Saccharomyces cerevisiae S288C: one gene and its partners. Changing the gene in region 1 together with any one later gene gives a genetic interaction. Each region holds a gene or a part of one and is shown in the gene's direction. Other genes may lie near its edges.

Region 1 (5,035 bases):
GAGATCACACACTTAATCCGCTTCCAGAATTTATTTTCTTTTTTTGATGATTTATGCTCAAGGAATTTACCTGTTCTCAAGAATATGTTTTTAATTCGAAGCTTTGCGTATATGATGTTTATCAATAACGTGTGCATCGTCGATATCTCTTCGCTAACAAAAAGCAATTTAAGTACCAAACAAACAGTAGTAATAGAGTGGGTCTACTTTGTCGATTGCCGTAGCAGGACATTTAACGCAAACGCTTCGGTAATCTGGTGAAATGATTGGATTAGGTGTTTTGTAAATTTTTTTTTTTTTTAGAAGATATTAATGCTGCATAGGGGAGAGATAAACGTCGCGGGAATTTGTGGCGGTGGAGCCCAGGTACGTATTAATTTTGAATGGCGCAAATCTACTAAGTACGGTATCATTTTGATGTCGGAATACGGATAGTCAGTCCATAACTGCACCACCAATATTTTTCTTGCCGTTCTCATTTCCTGCACAGTTTCTTTGATTATGTTTGCAGAAGAATTTCTTTATCGTTTAGTCTAAACAAAGAATTCGTTGTAAAGAATTTGAGAGCGGATCTTGCATTTTTTATTTATCATGCTTATGTTTTTTCTTTGATGTAAGAAGAAGCAAGTAAGATATGTGAATATCTTATCACTAATTCAAATAACTAAGAGAGCTCACAACGACAATTTGTGACAGCATGCGAAGCAAAGAGCAGTGATACCAGTATCTTTCATCCAGTAATAACATACGACTGATGTTATAGTTAAATGTTACATTTTGAGAGACTTCAACCTCTCGAAACCAAGAGGTTGGTTTTAACTCTGGTGACTTCAAGAAGGGTGGGTACCTTTTACAAAGCTTGAGACGAAGCAATAGTCAGTCTCTGTATAACAAGGAGACCACCTCATTTTCCAGTAACTCTTGAGGCATGTCGGATGGTTTGCCTTGAATAAACCGCAGTCATTATAATGAATGGCCTGTACTTTCAAAACAGTCTGGAAACAGAAATCCATTGCTGAGGTACCTTTTAGTAGCACTTTCGTTAGTGAAGGTTTAAGGTTAGTTCTTATTTACTGCACAAGAGTTTACATTTAACCACTCTAATAGTAACTGTTAGAGTGGTTTAACTGTTAGGTGATCTGTTCATTCCATTTTTCGTGTTGTATCTCAAGATGAGATAGCTTAGCGTTGCTACATACATAAATCTAAACATATAAACACCTGTGTAACTCGTTAACGTCTGGGCTTCCATGCTTCTACCATTTAGAATGATGTAGACCATTTATTCCAAGAGGATAAGCACCCTCTGTGATTCAAAATGATAATAAGTGTTGACGACAAGTTACTCTCGCAGAATTGTTGTCAACAGTCTTGTATTAGTTGTTATCCAACGCTCCCGTTTTCAAGTTCACTTAGCGCAAGTGGTTTAGTGGTAAAATCCAACGTTGCCATCGTTGGGCCCCCGGTTCGATTCCGGGCTTGCGCAAGTTTAATTTTTTTTCTTTTTCCACATTGTTTTCCACTTTGCACTCATTTCCAGTGTTTATTGTGAATGACAATTTCTTCAATCATTGAAATGATTGATTTTTTGGGATCTATTTTTCTCTTTAGTGGTTACTGATCAGGCAACTCTATATCATTGTTTAACCGCGGCTTGCGTATCTTATTTTCTTTTTCCTAGGCATCTTACTAAGGTACTCTTATCGCTAATCGCTTATCGCTTATCGTGCGCCAAAAACCGCCGGCGGCAATTTCGAGATGTTTTATGTCATGTTGGATTTTGCAATCTATTACCATGGAGGTGAGGGCCTTCGATGGTCCAATACCGGTGCACGTACCCATGTACGTTTATCGAATAAGGGGAGAACCTACTAATTTTAAGTCGGATAACGCGGCTTGGCACAGTAATCAGTTCCTTCTTTGGGTTAGAATCTTGATGTGAGATTGTGCTCAGTGATAATGATAGCGAATACGGCTTACTCTTGAATAACAAATGCATATATATTAAGAAGTAGTTCAAACGTATTCTGTTGACTGGCATGGTCCTTTCCTTCTTGTTGTGATTATATAAAACAGTATAAGCTGTTTACTTCAGTTGTGAAGTGTAACAAGGTCTTATAATTTATTATTACTAACAATGAGTATGTCAAGCAAAAACGAGAATAAGATATCAGTAGAACAAAGAATATCCACTGATATCGGTCAGGCTTACCAGTTACAAGGCCTTGGGTCTAACCTAAGGTCGATTCGCTCCAAGACTGGTGCCGGTGAAGTGAACTATATCGATGCTGCTAAATCTGTAAATGATAACCAACTGCTTGCAGAGATCGGTTATAAACAAGAATTAAAAAGACAATTTTCAACATTACAAGTTTTCGGTATTGCGTTCTCCATTATGGGTCTATTGCCCTCCATTGCATCTGTGATGGGTGGTGGGCTCGGTGGTGGTCCAGCAACATTAGTGTGGGGTTGGTTCGTTGCTGCGTTTTTCATTTTACTGGTGGGTATTACCATGGCTGAACATGCAAGTTCCATTCCTACCGCTGGTGGTTTGTACTACTGGACGTATTACTATGCTCCAGAAGGTTATAAAGAGATTATTTCTTTTATTATTGGTTGCTCAAACTCCCTAGCGTTGGCAGCCGGTGTGTGTTCCATTGATTACGGTTTGGCTGAGGAAATTGCTGCTGCTGTCACATTAACCAAAGATGGAAATTTTGAAGTAACGAGTGGGAAACTTTACGGTATATTTGCTGGAGCAGTGGTGGTTATGTGTATTTGTACATGTGTTGCTTCTGGGGCCATTGCTCGTCTGCAGACGCTAAGTATATTTGCCAATCTTTTCATTATTGTTTTATTGTTCATTGCGCTACCGATTGGTACCAAGCATAGAATGGGAGGTTTCAATGATGGTGACTTTATATTTGGGAAATATGAAAACTTAAGTGACTGGAATAATGGTTGGCAATTTTGTCTTGCTGGTTTCATGCCTGCTGTCTGGACTATTGGTTCCTTTGATTCATGTGTCCATCAATCTGAAGAAGCCAAAGATGCCAAGAAATCAGTCCCCATTGGTATAATCTCATCTATTGCTGTTTGTTGGATTTTAGGTTGGTTGATTATTATTTGTTTAATGGCCTGTATCAACCCTGATATTGACAGCGTTTTGGACTCCAAGTACGGCTTTGCTTTGGCTCAAATAATTTATGATTCGTTAGGAAAAAAATGGGCCATTGCATTTATGTCATTGATCGCATTCTGTCAATTTCTAATGGGTGCTTCCATTACCACAGCTGTTTCTAGACAAGTTTGGGCATTTTCCCGTGATAACGGTTTGCCCCTATCAAAGTATATTAAAAGAGTGGATTCTAAATACTCGGTCCCTTTTTTCGCTATTTTGGCTGCCTGTGTAGGTTCCTTGATTTTAGGATTGTTATGTTTGATTGATGATGCCGCCACTGATGCATTATTTAGTCTGGCTGTTGCAGGAAACAATTTGGCATGGAGTACCCCTACAGTTTTCCGTTTAACATCAGGTAGAGATTTATTTAGACCTGGTCCATTTTATTTGGGTAAAATCTGGTCTCCAATTGTTGCTTGGACAGGTGTTGCTTTCCAATTGTTCATTATTATTTTGGTTATGTTCCCCTCTCAACAACATGGTATTACTAAATCCACAATGAATTATGCATGCGTTATTGGTCCCGGTATCTGGATCCTTGCAGGTATCTACTACAAAGTTTACAAGAAGAAATACTACCACGGTCCAGCAACCAATTTGTCGGATGATGATTATACTGAAGCCGTTGGTGCTGATGTTATCGACACAATTATGTCCAAACAGGAACCATAAATGTTCAAACCTTTATAAAGATTTTATATTCAGAGTTTATAAGGTCTAGCTTATATAGTCAGTATTTTTAATTTAATTATATTATAGTTTATCCTATCTCACCGTTTTAGCTTGTTTTCTGCGCCCAAACATAAAAATCAAGAAGCGCGGATAATTTATGATCAGCTCAGCGGGAATGTTAATGGCAGATACTTAGAATTTGGTGGAAACGATTTTCTTCTCTAATCCTCATCAGAGGAGAGGTAATCGAGCAAGGGACCACCAAGCTTACCAACAGATGGCTTTGATGAAATATTTTCTCTACTGATATTTTTTTTCACTTTCTTCAATTTTTCTATAAAATCATCACTCTCCATTCCATTATCTAATGGCAATAGTCTTTTCTTGACATTATCAACACTTGCTTCTGGAAATGTCCTGTCTAACCTTTCATTATTCTTATTATTAACCTCAGTGCCAGCACTATTGGTATTGTTATTGATTAGATGCACCATCATGTTTAAAGACTCTAACTTCAGTTCTTCTTGCAGTCTTTTCTGTGCAGCGGGGTCTGGATCTTCATTTGCCCATTTCACCAATAGTCCAGTACCCTCCCTTCTATCATCCCATTCTTTATCGCTGGGTAGCAGCAATGTCTGATTGCTCATGGCTTCTTTGGCAAATTCTGCATTAGCTTGATATTTAAACTTCACAAATCCACAGTTTTTGCTCTCAACGTATCGTATTCTATCAATATCACCCAATCGAGAAAATACAAATCGAATTCTGCTTTCTATCTGAGCTGGCTTCAAATGCTTGCTATTCAATGCTCCATCAATACCACCTACATACAATGTCTTGTTTTTCTTCCTAAATGAACCGATCCCGCCCATATCCTCTCTATAGTCAGCAAATTTTTCTCTACCAAAACAGTCCAATACCTCTGTCCTCAGGGCCAGTTTACCTATATCTTCTTCGTCTGGTATATGATGCAGATATTCACATTTAGGGCCAAGGCAACACATACCCTTTGCAAAAAATAGACAGAAGAACAACTGGCCATCATTATCGCCCCTAGTCTTCCCAGAATGAAGTTGCGGCTGCAAAGCAAATGGACTAACAAATCGTGTATTCCCCGCAAACCCTTGGGACCATTTATTATACCATATATTAAACGTCAATCCAGTCTGCGCCGGTATAGAG
Region 2 (4,817 bases), on another chromosome or scaffold:
GTTCCGTTAACGTATCTGAAAAGTTCAGCAAGGGCAACCTTCCAATCCTTTAGTTCATATGGGATCAAATTTTGACGGAACTTGGGCGAAGTCCCGACATCAGTGTGGGAAAAGTTGAATAACTCACTAAGTTCGTGTCTTGATGCACTTGTATACAACCTCTTGGTTTCATCAGTAGCATGTTGCATTTCACCAACTGTCATAATTTCTCTGCCATCCTTCACTCTGTTTCTGATGAACTTGTTCATTTCTTGATGAAACTCATGGATACGTGGTCCGTTCATTGTGAAAGGATCACTGGGTTGCCACTTTGAGTTTTCGTCAATCACAGGAGCGTCTGGTAGACCAGCAACCTTGGAGTACAAGCTTCCCACATCAATTCTAAAGCCGTCTACACCATGGTCTAACCAGTATCCAACGGCACTTTCGTAGATTGCCTTTCTACAGTCCTCATTCTCCCAATTCAAATCAGGTTGGGTGGAGCAAAACAAACGCAAGTAAAACTCTTGTGTCTTTTCATCGAACGTCCATGCAGAACCACCGAAGTAAGACCTCCAATTGTTTGGAGGAATTGGCTTGCCTTCGGCGTCATAACCCTTAGGAGGTCTCCAGAAGAACCAGTCACGTTTTGGATTGGTTTTTGAGGATCTGCTCTCTTTGAACCATTCATGTTCGCTCGAGCAATGGTTGATGACTAAGTCGGTGATAAATTTCATACCAAGCTTATGTGTCTTTTCGATCAAGGCAAAGCAGTCCTCGTTCGTACCGTAGGTTGGCCAGACCTTTTCGTAGTTGGCAATATCGTAACCCATATCATCTTGTGGCGAGTCGTAGAATGGTGAGATCCAAATGGCATCGGCACCAAGCTCTTTGATATACTCCAACTTGGAGGCAATACCCTTCATATCACCCCACCCATCGTTGTTGGAGTCTTTGAAACTTGCGGGATAAATTTGATAGATTGTGGCCTCTTTCCACCACTTGGGTTCTGTTTCTGGATGTGCAGAAGAAATAGTCATTGTACGTTGCTTTCTTTTCTTTATGAAAAAACTTTCACTTTTGTTTGTGTGTTTGGACTGGTGAATGGAACATATATTCTAGTACAGCTAATTCCTCGAGTGAAGAAGTCTTTCTTACTTATATATGTCTTTTACGTGCCTATGGACGTCTTACGAATGATCGAAAATAAGAAAAGAACAAAGTAAATTTAGGATCTGGAAGGAGTGCTGTATGTAAACGAAGCTTTCAGTTTTAGGTAATGTTTGCACAACCTACATGATATAACATGGTATGTTCTGCAAGAGCGTGCCTGGCCCTTGGCCCGTTATAGCAGATCATACCATCTGCAAGCAGACCCCATTATTGCACTGCCTCCGCAATCTTGCGTATACGTAGTCCCACGACAAAGTACGAAGCGTAAACTGACCTTGTTCAGTTCCCCACAAAAATTACATAACCATTTCTCCGCGGAATTACATAATCATTTCTCCGCGAAAATTACATAATCATTTCTCCGTGCGAGTTATAAGTGCTTTTCTCGTGCATCCCTTGGCACTTCACAAAACCTTCTTTTTCTTTTTTTTCTTTATTTCAGGGGAAATCAGTGCAAAACTAAAAAAGAAAGAAATTTTGTGAAATGTAAACTCCAGGTGTCAAAAAATAAATTATATCCGTGGAAAATCAGGCGTCGGAAATTGTAGATGAAACCGCCTCCTCCACAATAAATGCTGACCACACGAACAATGCATACACTCGGACACCTTCGTTCAAAGTATCAGTAGCAGTTCGACACACCGTATACTACTTAGCTCTTAAGGTCTAGGCTCATCTTTCTCAGTTCCTCTTTTTCGCTAATTAAAGGTATATAATGTCACAGTTGTGTAACTAGAGAAGAGCACACTTGTTCCTATCTTTTTCTTCTTCTTTTTTTGGTATGAGTTGAAAAAAATAATCATTGCACAATTTAGTTCTAAACGCTTTTGTTATTACTCAATATCATGTCAGGTGTTAATAATACATCCGCAAATGAGTTATCTACTACCATGTCTAACTCTAACTCAGCAGTAGGCGCTCCCTCTGTTAAGACTGAACACGGTGACTCTAAAAATTCCCTTAACCTAGATGCCAATGAGCCACCTATTGACTTACCTCAAAAACCCCTCTCTGCGTATACCACCGTCGCAATCCTGTGTTTGATGATTGCATTTGGCGGCTTCATCTTTGGTTGGGATACCGGTACCATTTCTGGTTTTGTTAACCTTTCTGATTTCATCAGAAGGTTCGGTCAAAAAAATGACAAGGGAACCTACTACTTATCGAAAGTAAGAATGGGTTTGATCGTCTCAATATTCAACATTGGCTGCGCCATAGGCGGAATTGTCTTGTCAAAAGTCGGTGATATATATGGTCGTCGTATTGGATTGATTACAGTTACTGCCATTTACGTTGTAGGCATCCTAATCCAAATAACTTCCATAAACAAGTGGTACCAATACTTCATTGGAAGAATTATTTCTGGCCTAGGAGTGGGAGGCATTGCTGTCCTTTCCCCAATGTTGATATCTGAAGTTGCTCCCAAACATATCAGAGGAACTCTGGTCCAATTGTACCAGCTGATGGGTACGATGGGTATTTTTCTAGGATACTGTACCAATTACGGTACCAAGAACTATCACAACGCCACTCAATGGAGAGTCGGCCTTGGTCTTTGCTTTGCCTGGGCTACATTCATGGTTAGTGGAATGATGTTTGTACCAGAATCACCACGTTACCTGATTGAGGTTGGTAAAGATGAGGAAGCGAAACGTTCACTATCGAAATCCAACAAAGTCTCAGTTGACGATCCAGCCTTGCTAGTTGAATATGACACTATAAAGGCAGGAATTGAACTTGAAAAGCTGGCAGGTAACGCATCATGGTCTGAACTACTCTCCACTAAAACAAAGGTCTTTCAGCGTGTTCTCATGGGAGTGATGATCCAATCGCTGCAGCAATTAACCGGTGACAACTACTTCTTTTACTACGGTACCACCATCTTCAAATCTGTCGGTCTAAAGGACTCCTTTCAGACTTCGATCATTATCGGTGTGGTTAATTTTTTCTCTTCATTCATAGCGGTATACACCATTGAGAGGTTTGGACGCCGTACGTGTCTATTGTGGGGTGCTGCTTCTATGCTATGCTGCTTTGCTGTGTTTGCCTCCGTCGGTGTGACAAAGTTGTGGCCTCAAGGAAGCAGTCACCAAGACATTACTTCTCAGGGCGCCGGTAACTGTATGATTGTGTTTACTATGTTCTTCATTTTTTCGTTCGCCACCACTTGGGCAGGCGGCTGTTACGTTATTGTCTCAGAGACGTTTCCTCTTAGGGTCAAATCAAGAGGAATGGCAATCGCAACAGCTGCAAACTGGATGTGGGGTTTCCTGATTAGTTTCTTTACCCCATTCATTACCGGGGCAATCAACTTTTACTACGGTTACGTATTCTTAGGCTGTCTGGTTTTTGCATACTTTTATGTCTTTTTCTTTGTCCCAGAAACAAAAGGCCTGACACTGGAGGAGGTGAATACTATGTGGCTGGAAGGTGTGCCAGCATGGAAATCGGCCTCATGGGTGCCACCGGAGAGAAGAACCGCAGATTACGATGCTGATGCAATAGATCATGACAATAGACCAATTTACAAGAGGTTCTTTTCCAGCTGATCTTCTAGTTTTCGGTAAATTGGTAAAAAAGCAAAAAAAAAAATTGACGAAACTAATTCTCTATTATACATAATGTTTTTACTTTTGTACCCTTTAATTTCTAATGAATGTTTTATGGAAGCTTCAATAAATGCGTGACTGGCTATAGTTGTCGGATGGCAATCCATTATTATGTATACCGTATTATTAAGAGTGCAACTAGGCCCGACTATAAATCTAACACTCAGATCCTTGTACTGTAATGCATATTTATTTTTTCACAAGTTGCATGCTAATAATACCATGATATTTTTTGAAGCCTTGAAAAATAGTTCAAGCAGCTACGATATCATGAATCAATATACTCATTGCAGCCTATGTAATATATATAGGTTCCGTGTTACCACTCGTTTCTGATATTTTCGATATGGCTACACTGGGTTTTTCATGATGGAAATGTGATACTACCAGTTCCAATATATTTATCTTCCTTATCTATATGACACGCTGTTATTTTAGTTCAAGTCAGTGTCCAATTGGGGTGAGTGTCACGTGCACAACGACGGTAGTCGTTGGATGTGCTAAATGATGTTCTACTGCCAATGACTGCAAATACGTTCGAAGAGTATAAAATCGAAGGAAACGAATTAAGTTGCCAATCCTTACTGTAACTATAGCATGTTACATATATGTACCATAAGTATCACATTAAGGTTTCGCCATAGCCATGTGCCTATATTAAATAGAAATATCACATGGCGATCCACGGAATGTTTATAGATTTTCTTCTTTTGTCTATGGCCCGGGCGAGACATTAATTTATCTTGCTGAAAAATTCGAAAGTTAAAACTCAATTATGCGTGGGATTTCTCAATTAGGTTACCAGAATTTCAATCTGCTGAAGAATTATGTCTTAAAAAAAAAAGTCCCGCCTCAAAAAAGCCAAAAAGGGTGTGACTGTAGATTGTGGGTTACTTGCTGTCAAATGACATGAAAATCTCTGCCTGCATGATCCCTGTCAAAATTCGAAAACACGCGGTCATAAAATTGTGCCTCAAAAAGATATCTTTTCCTGCGGGTTCTCTTAGTAAATGAGGTTAGGTTGTTTCCTATTCTTACGAGATTTCCCTTGTTCTC
Region 3 (4,194 bases), on another chromosome or scaffold:
GGATCGACACCATAGACCAGTTTTGTGGCCTTTTTAGCAGCAGTAAATTGGGCGTTGAATGGATCAGAAACCCAATAAGCACCATCATGGATCAATTCTGTTCTGCACTTGTTTGGAGAGTTCAAGGACTTGAATTTGGCATCACAATGCTTCTGGACCAAAGAGGTCAGTTTCTCAGAATCCATGTCGGGGACGGTTCTAATGGAAAACTTACCGAAGACCTTAGCTGGAATGACAGTCTTTGCACCTTGAGCGGAAAAGGCGCCTTCCACACCATGAATGGACAACGAAGGATACCTCCATCTGTGCATCAAGATGTCTTCCTTCTTGTCGTACAAACTTGTCTTAGAGCCAGTTGCAGCGTTCAATTCTTCGACGCTAAATTCGATATCCTTGTATAGAGCCTTCTCCTTTTCGGTTAGAGGAGCAACCATTTCGTCAATACCGTCAATCAGGATCTTACCCTTAGAATCCACAAGGGAACCGAGAACTTGCATTAAATCGATCATTGGTTCAGCAACAACACCACCAAAGATACCAGAGTGTAAATCTGCACTTGGACCCTCAATGATGGTTTGATAGTAGTTGCAACCTCTTAGACCATAAGTCAAAACAGGCTTCTTAGTGCCTAGCCAGTAATTATCGGAAATACAAACGGCATCTACACCTTTAAAGTAACCATTAGCTTCCTTTTTAATCAATTCATCCAATTTCAAAGAACCACTTTCCTCCATTCCTTCGAAACAAGTAACTAAGTTAACGGGGAATTCTTGTCCGGAGGCTTTGAAGGCGTCCACAACGTTAATCCAAGATAATAAGGGACCAGTGTCATCGGTGACACCCCTTCCTTTCATGATACCTTTAGCCTCATCAATGACAAGCTTGAATGGCTCAGTATCCCAACCATCTTCCAATTGAGCAGGTTGCACATCATAGTGACCGTAAACCAACACAGTCTTTTTTGAAGGGTCGCTGCCGAACCTAGACAGAATCACAGGAGGTAGAGACAGATTTGGCGTAGAAATTGGTGGAGGTTGAATGCCCAGATCCACCATTTTAATGTCATGGAACCCCGATTGTGATAATTGCTCGGAGATAAACTTGGCCTTATCGAAGACTTTGGACCTTAGTGATTCATCCGAAGAAACAGCGGGGATTTGAATAGCCTTAGTCAGTCTGCTGAAGAACTGAGGCTTTAAAGAATCAATCTTTTGGAAAACGGAAGTAAGTGAGTGAGACATGCTTGTGTACGATGCTCTGGAGCAACTGAACTAACAATGAAGGGAGATTCAATTGATAAGAACAACATGTTGCTATTATAGTCTCTCTTTTTTTTTTGACACATTTTCTTGTAGCCGTTTTGAATGACGAATATAAGGGATATTGCTAAAATATGCTGTGGCATTGGTCAACTTAAAAGAATACGAATACTTATTCTAAAAGATGTGCTCGAGTATTTAACCCACCGATTGGCGCACAAAATGTGTTGTGGAGTTATCAATCACTCGAGGGATTTAATCGACTTCTTGTTTAGTTCGCCTTCGCTAGTCATAATAAAATCGACTTATTAATCCAAAAATTTCAAACTTTCTTGTCAACATAACTTCTGGAAAGGGTGTCAGAGGTTTTTCCTTCTTGCGTCTGCTGATTTTATTAGGTTGTTTAATTTAAAGGGCTTTGAACAGAAGTGGGAACTTCTTCCGCCTTATTAAGCTATTTTTCAATCGAATATAATTGAAAAAGTAATTGCTCTCACAGGTAGTCGAATCGTAAAAAAAGGGCAGTAAGAACAGCACCCGACATGGCTAACCAGGTAAGTAGTAAACTGTTTCGTTCCAAGACGCTAATGCTATTTTATTAACGCTCTCTTTTTTCTCGTTTGCAGAACTCTGACCTTTACAAGCAAATCACTGCCGGCAGTGTAGCTGCTGTGTTTCAAACGACAATGACATACCCATTTGAGTACTTAAAGACTGGTTTACAATTGCAACCGAAGGGTACCGCTTTCGAAATCATTTTACCTCAGATTAAGTCGTACTTTGTTGGCTGCTCTGCCCTAAACGTGGCCGCATTTGGTAAGACTATTTTAAGGTTCGTTACGTTCGACAAGTTATGCCACTCCCTGAATAATAACATTGATAATAATGATAATTTTCAAAGACTGACTGGTTATAACCTTTTGATCGCTGGTACGTTGACAGGAATAGTAGAAAGTTTGTTTATTATCCCTTTTGAAAACATAAAAACCACCCTTATCCAATCGGCGATGATCGATCATAAAAAATTAGAGAAGAATCAACCTGTAGTTAACGCAAAGGCAACCTTTCACAAGGTGGCGACTAAATCTACTCCTGTGGCTCGTATCGAGAAACTACTTCCAGCGGTAAAACACATGTATCAAACAAGAGGCCCTGCTGCGTTCGTCCAGGGAACAACAGCCACCATATTTAGGCAGATAGCTAACACCTCTATTCAATTTACTGCATACACAGCATTTAAACGGTTGTTACAAGCAAGAAACGACAAGGCATCCTCAGTAATAACGGGGTTAGCCACATCTTTTACACTCGTGGCAATGACTCAGCCCATTGACGTCGTAAAAACAAGGATGATGAGTCAAAATGCCAAAACTGAATATAAAAATACCTTAAATTGCATGTATAGAATATTTGTTCAAGAAGGCATGGCCACATTCTGGAAGGGCTCCATCTTTAGGTTTATGAAAGTCGGTATTTCAGGAGGCTTAACGTTCACTGTTTATGAACAGGTTAGTTTGTTACTAGGCTTCTCTTCCAGGTCTTGATAATTTTGTGGATCTTTTACTCTTTTCTGTACATAAATTGCCACTATTTAATTATTTTCTCTACGGTATCTTTTTTAGAACAAATAACTTTCAATTCTTGATTGAAGTTCTAAGGGAAGCAATTCGTGCGCGAGCTCAAACATATCATCAACGTTATTGATAATACCCATATCGATAAACGAATCTACCAATTCCTGTTTTTGTAACGTGCCGATTTTTTGTTTCAAGAAATCCATTATATTTAAAGATTCCTCCTGTATAGTAGACCACGTTTGTTTCGGCAATATTATCCTATTCTCATTCAAAAATTGCCTTGTAAGATGTTTTAGATCCATTATTTGCAGCGGTTTTATAGAAGAACGTCTCACCGCAGGGACATTTAAACGGATAGGATCGTTGCCTATATCATCCAAATTTTCGTCACTGGTGTTTTCAAACGAATAATCTTCGTTTTCTGCTTCTTCTGTCTCCTCTTTATCGTCGCTTGGTAAATCTTCAGATAGTGGTTCTTCCTGTTGCGTTATGGAAATTGGTACCGGATCACGTACTGGCGGTTCATCTACCTGATCCATTCCAATGCTTGGCGACGTGCGCAAAACTTCCATAGAGATACTGTTAGCTTTATCTGGAGAGTGCACTGTCAATTCATCCTCGTGTCCTGTCGTGGGAACATCTTGTATTATTATCGGGTCAATCTTCCTACTTTTCAAGCCTTTGTCTCTTTCCTGCAATTTTGCAAATACTGTTTGCGATAAGGAAGTATAATCAGGTTGCGTTTCATTGCCAATGTTGTTATCTGTCAGTTTCTCACTTCTGCTCCGAAGAAGCTCATTCTCCTCTGGTTGGCTCTCTTCGTACGCTAATTCATCTATTAGATTCCGTGCTTGAGTTTTATTAGTAGTTGTATCGTTGCCTTGTGATTTGCGTGCTAACACTTGGCTTAAGTCTTGTAAAAAACTTCGTACTTCGTTCGGATCTTTATTGAGGATGTCATGAGACTTAGTAGAAGCAGATAAAAGTTTTCTATAACCTGGCGTATTTCTGATCAGTACCTCATCCTTGAGACGTTGTTCTTCAAGGGCTCTCTCCCGAAAGGGGGTTCTGATCTCTGAGACTTCTGTATTCTCGTTGTTACCGGCGGCCTTCCTGGGAGTGCTCATTATTCATTTCTTATTTCGTTACTAATCGTCGTGTGTGTCATTAATCGGTAACGCGTAGCTTCTTAATCTTATTTAGAATATGTAAATAAAAAAAAGTAAAAATCGAAGCCTAAGCATTTTCAATGAGCCAGTTTCAATGAGAAATCAATCACTGGTGTGCCTTGATGAATGCTACTAGTGCTGTAAATGTCAATGTCATCGCACAAATACTCCTCGAGGTTGTCCAAATTC
Region 4 (4,070 bases), on another chromosome or scaffold:
ACGCCAAGAGAGAAAGAGAAAGAGAGAGAGAGAGAGAAAAAAAAAAAAGAAATATATAGATTTAGGTATTCGTTAAATATATACACATTAAATGGCCTCAGAAATTTTAAATATATAAATAAATAAGCTCTTATATGTACAAATTTGTGCATATACTTTTCTTGACCTTTTTACTCCTCGGCTTGATTAAGAAAGGATGGTGGCGTCGAAATATAACTTTGGATCCAAACTTGAGATTTCCGCAGAGGTTGCTTCGCCATCAAGGAGAATCTCAGCCATTAATTTACCTGTTGCTGGCGCATTGTTAATACCCCAACAAGAATGTCCACTTGCAATATAAAGATCCTTGACATTTGTCTCACCAATTAAGGGACCAGAACTTGTAGGAACGTTTAAAACTGGCAAAAAACAGGCTTGTTTCCGCAAGAGATGGCCCTTTGATAGAGTTGGCGATAATTTGGATACGTAATGGTACAATTCATCACACTTCTCCGAAACTACCTCCACATCGTCCGAACTTTCAGGTATATTGACTAAAGTGTCGCCTTCGCCGCACACATAAACTTCATCTTTTCTAGCATACATTTCAGGGGAGAAAAATTCACGGTCGTTAACTTTTAGTTCAGCAAGAATAGCGTAAGGTGAAACTGTCTTTTCACTAGGCTTAATGGTGACAGAGTGGGCTCTCAATCCAGAAATTGGACAATCTTTTAGAATCTTGGAAGTCCAGGGTCCCATACTCAAAACAATCTGCTGGATGTCATTGATTTCAATGGGCTTCGCGTTCTCATCGTTGAAGATTGTACCCAGCTTAATGTCTGGATTTTCTGCATGCCCTCTGCTATTTCTGCGATTCTTGACGACAGATGGAAGGTACTTAAGAGAATGAACACAATCCATCTCGTCACACTTTAGCCCAACTACCTTACCTAGGAGAAGATCGACAGCACCTGTTTCCATTGCCTTCGATAAGATGAAATGGGTGAATTTATAGGGATGAAGCTGCGCTGTGGTATCAGTACCACCTAGTGATGACCAATCATTAACCAATTCTCTTCTTATCCAATCTAAATCAGCAGGCAAAGGATTATGGATATTAGTCTCTCTCAGTTGCTCCACGGGACTTACAGAGTCAAGATCAGATGCGCTATTTGTGTGGCTTCTCATGCGCTCATTTGTTAGAGAGTGTAAACTGGGTACTGAGCTAGAAACATGAATGTCTGATCCTTCTTCCTCGTTACTAGCGGAGTCGTTTTTCAAAGAAGAGCCCGAAGAACTCAAAGATGAATTAGAGTCCCCGATGTTAAACTTGTTGGATATGTAGCCCGGTCTCTTCTTTGGAGGAGGGACATTCAGATTATATGCCTTCTTGCTCAGTCTTTCGTAGTTTTCAATGACTTCTTCGCGAACATCTGCTTCTAAGGACACAGTCGTCAATCTTCTGTAGTCCCAGTTGTTTTCTCCATCATATTCATCACTCAACTCCTGATGTAGCTGGAAACTTAAAGGTACGATTTGGTGAGGGAAAGCCCAAGATGCAAGCAAGCCACCTGCTTTACCAGAAGCCCCTCCAGCAATGCGCCTCGATTCAATGATGGTAATATGATGCGTCGAAGGGCTGAAACTTGGATGCTGGGTCAAGTAGTAAGCAGTACAGCAACCGATGATACCGCCACCTACAATGACAATATGTTTTTTCCCTTCGCTGTTCTTTGAAGGGTACGTTTGAAACGGTGGGTGCATAAAATCTTCACCCATTTATAAACACTATTCCTTCTGTTGCTTGGTTAAAATGCTATTGATACTTAGATGGTGTATTGGAGAGCACGAAAATCTTTTGCTGAGTGACTTGAACTATCAAACAGAATTACTTGTTGGCTGATTTTTTTTAAGTCTTGATTTAACAATAGAAAAAAAAAAAAAAAAAAAAGGAACAATATAACTTTTGTAGTACGTGTGCCAGGTTACAGATATGGTTTCACTTCTATGTCGTGCTTTTTTCATTCATACGTAATCTTATGCATGTAGGGGATAGACGCACAAAAGCACCAAGGCTGCATGTATTGATAAATTGGCTTACACGATTCCAGCTAAGGGGACTCGGACGGAACCGTCTCATATTATACGTTCAGTGAATATTTTTCACGGAAGAATGGAAAGGGCCTCGAAAGACGTTAATGCATCCGTACACCTACATCTTTACATTTTTTGCTGTTGCACCTACACTGTTTTTTTTTTTTTCACCTTATGAGTCCTGTATTTCTTGAAAGAGCCGATAACAATATTCCAGGTGGAGTCCCGAGGCAGAATCAAGGCTGCGGAGAGAAGTTCCTCTCAAACTAATGGGAGTGATCCGCTCAGTTCTCCCATCACGACAGAACTGTCTGAGACAAAGTCTTTCCAGCAGAGCTCCGCCTACGCTCTTGCTGCAGAGATTCGCCCGAAGGCAGGTTTCCTGAAATTCTTTTCACTAGTAAAGTGTTCGTTCATGTAAAACATACTGCCGTAGTTTTGAGCTAAAATTAAAGATATATTAGATTTTTAGAATTTCTTAGATAGTCTCAACGTGTTAAAACAAAAGCATAACCAAAGAAAAAAATGGCTAAGTTCTTGAAAGCTGGTAAAGTTGGTACGTATCATTTTCAGTTTTTGGACATCAACAAAAAACCGTGCAACTGTGGTATTAGAAATCCAAGTTATTAGCAGTTGATGTTGTATAATTTGAGTTTGAATTCGAGTATTGTATCTTCATATGGGAGTAGGGAGGAAAAAGCGTGGAGATGTTAGATCTGGGAAAAAACCTTTAAATTTGAATGATAGCTTATTAATAGAAATATTGGACAAAAAGATGAATGATTTAGGAGCGAAACTAACGATTATTCATATTCATTGAGCTATACGAGGCAGTGGAAGGGTTATCAAAAAGTTGTAATTTAAAAGAAAAAAGCATCAATAGCCACCAAATAAGATGGTGAAAGTTCCGCGATATATTTGCTAAGACCATAGGCACATGTACGCAGGCGACCAGGGCCTTTTATTTACTGTAGTTCTTTCCATGCCCTATTAAAAATTCGTGGGCCTATGATAATTTTTCTCTCCCTAGTATTGAAGAACAAAATTGAGAATTCGCCAAACTTTAAGAAGGGTTCACATTTACTAACTATTTCTTTTCCTTCCTTTTTTTACACAGCTGTCGTTGTCCGTGGTCGTTACGCCGGTAAGAAGGTTGTTATCGTTAAACCACATGATGAAGGTTCCAAGTCTCACCCATTTGGTCACGCTTTGGTTGCCGGTATTGAAAGATACCCATTGAAGGTCACCAAGAAGCACGGTGCCAAGAAGGTTGCTAAGAGAACCAAGATCAAGCCTTTCATCAAGGTCGTCAACTACAACCATTTATTGCCAACCAGATACACTTTAGATGTTGAAGCTTTCAAATCCGTTGTTTCTACTGAAACTTTCGAACAACCTTCCCAACGTGAAGAAGCTAAGAAAGTCGTCAAGAAGGCTTTCGAAGAAAGACACCAAGCTGGTAAGAACCAATGGTTCTTCTCTAAGTTGAGATTTTAAGAGAATTGCATTATGGTCAACCAAAAATCAAAAAATTATTAGTAATATCAACATATGTATATTTAATGTATGTAAACAATGATTAAATATTAATAAAATATATCTACATATAAGTATACGCAAATGGGGTTTTTCTTCAAAAAAATTGTTTGCTGGTGTTTTCAACCTTAACGACAAAACGAATCATAACGCGGTAAAGGGGAACGATAATATATAATGGAAGCATTAAGCAAACAGCTTTGTAATACGTTTTACAGACACTGAACAAGACAAGATTTTAAACAGCAATGATTATAAGGCGCTTATTTTCAATTTCAAATCGCTCATTCTTCTTGAAGAAACCTCAATTTGATGTAAAAAAAATAATAGAGATGATTCCTCAGTACCAAACTTCTATCCAGAATAGAGAGCTGATAGAGGCGGATAGTATTATACGAAGCTTACAACTGTTGGGTGAACGGTATCAAAATATAAAAGAGATTGATAAAGTTATTGCGGAT

Evidence for each region.
Region 2: mutations in UGA4 (region 1) and HXT11 together harm fitness less than expected from each alone (positive genetic interaction), as found in Saccharomyces cerevisiae (one large-scale study listed by BioGRID).
Region 3: mutations in UGA4 (region 1) and MRX20 together harm fitness more than expected from each alone (negative genetic interaction), as found in Saccharomyces cerevisiae (one large-scale study listed by BioGRID).
Region 4: mutations in UGA4 (region 1) and RPL27A impair growth when combined (synthetic growth defect), as found in Saccharomyces cerevisiae (one large-scale study listed by BioGRID).

The regions. Positions count from the first base shown.
Region 1 is NC_001136.10:82,133-87,167, forward strand, and holds UGA4 (Uga4p), read left to right. Parts: upstream 1-2,137; coding exon 2,138-3,853; downstream 3,854-5,035. Other genes in the region: active spliceosome conformation promoter CWC2, read right to left, coding at 4,075-5,035. UniProt on the Saccharomyces cerevisiae protein: Required for high-affinity, high-specificity GABA transport. Also transports putrescine.
Region 2 is NC_001147.6:23,276-28,092, forward strand, and holds HXT11 (hexose transporter HXT11), read left to right. Parts: upstream 1-1,997; coding exon 1,998-3,701; downstream 3,702-4,817. Other genes in the region: oligo-1,6-glucosidase IMA2, read right to left, coding at 1-1,019; YOL155W-A (uncharacterized protein), read left to right, coding at 3,809-3,943. UniProt on the Saccharomyces cerevisiae protein: Probable glucose transporter.
Region 3 is NC_001138.5:240,197-244,390, forward strand, and holds MRX20 (Mrx20p), read left to right. Parts: upstream 1-1,801; coding exon 1,802-1,813; intron 1,814-1,885; coding exon 1,886-2,803; downstream 2,804-4,194. Other genes in the region: DUG1 (metallodipeptidase), read right to left, coding at 1-1,241; centromere-binding protein CNN1, read right to left, coding at 2,878-3,963; BNA6 (nicotinate-nucleotide diphosphorylase (carboxylating)), read right to left, coding at 4,083-4,194.
Region 4 is NC_001140.6:123,923-127,992, forward strand, and holds RPL27A (60S ribosomal protein eL27 RPL27A), read left to right. Parts: upstream 1-2,598; coding exon 2,599-2,629; intron 2,630-3,190; coding exon 3,191-3,570; downstream 3,571-4,070. Other genes in the region: TDA3 (Tda3p), read right to left, coding at 187-1,758; putative serine--tRNA ligase DIA4, read left to right, coding at 3,858-4,070.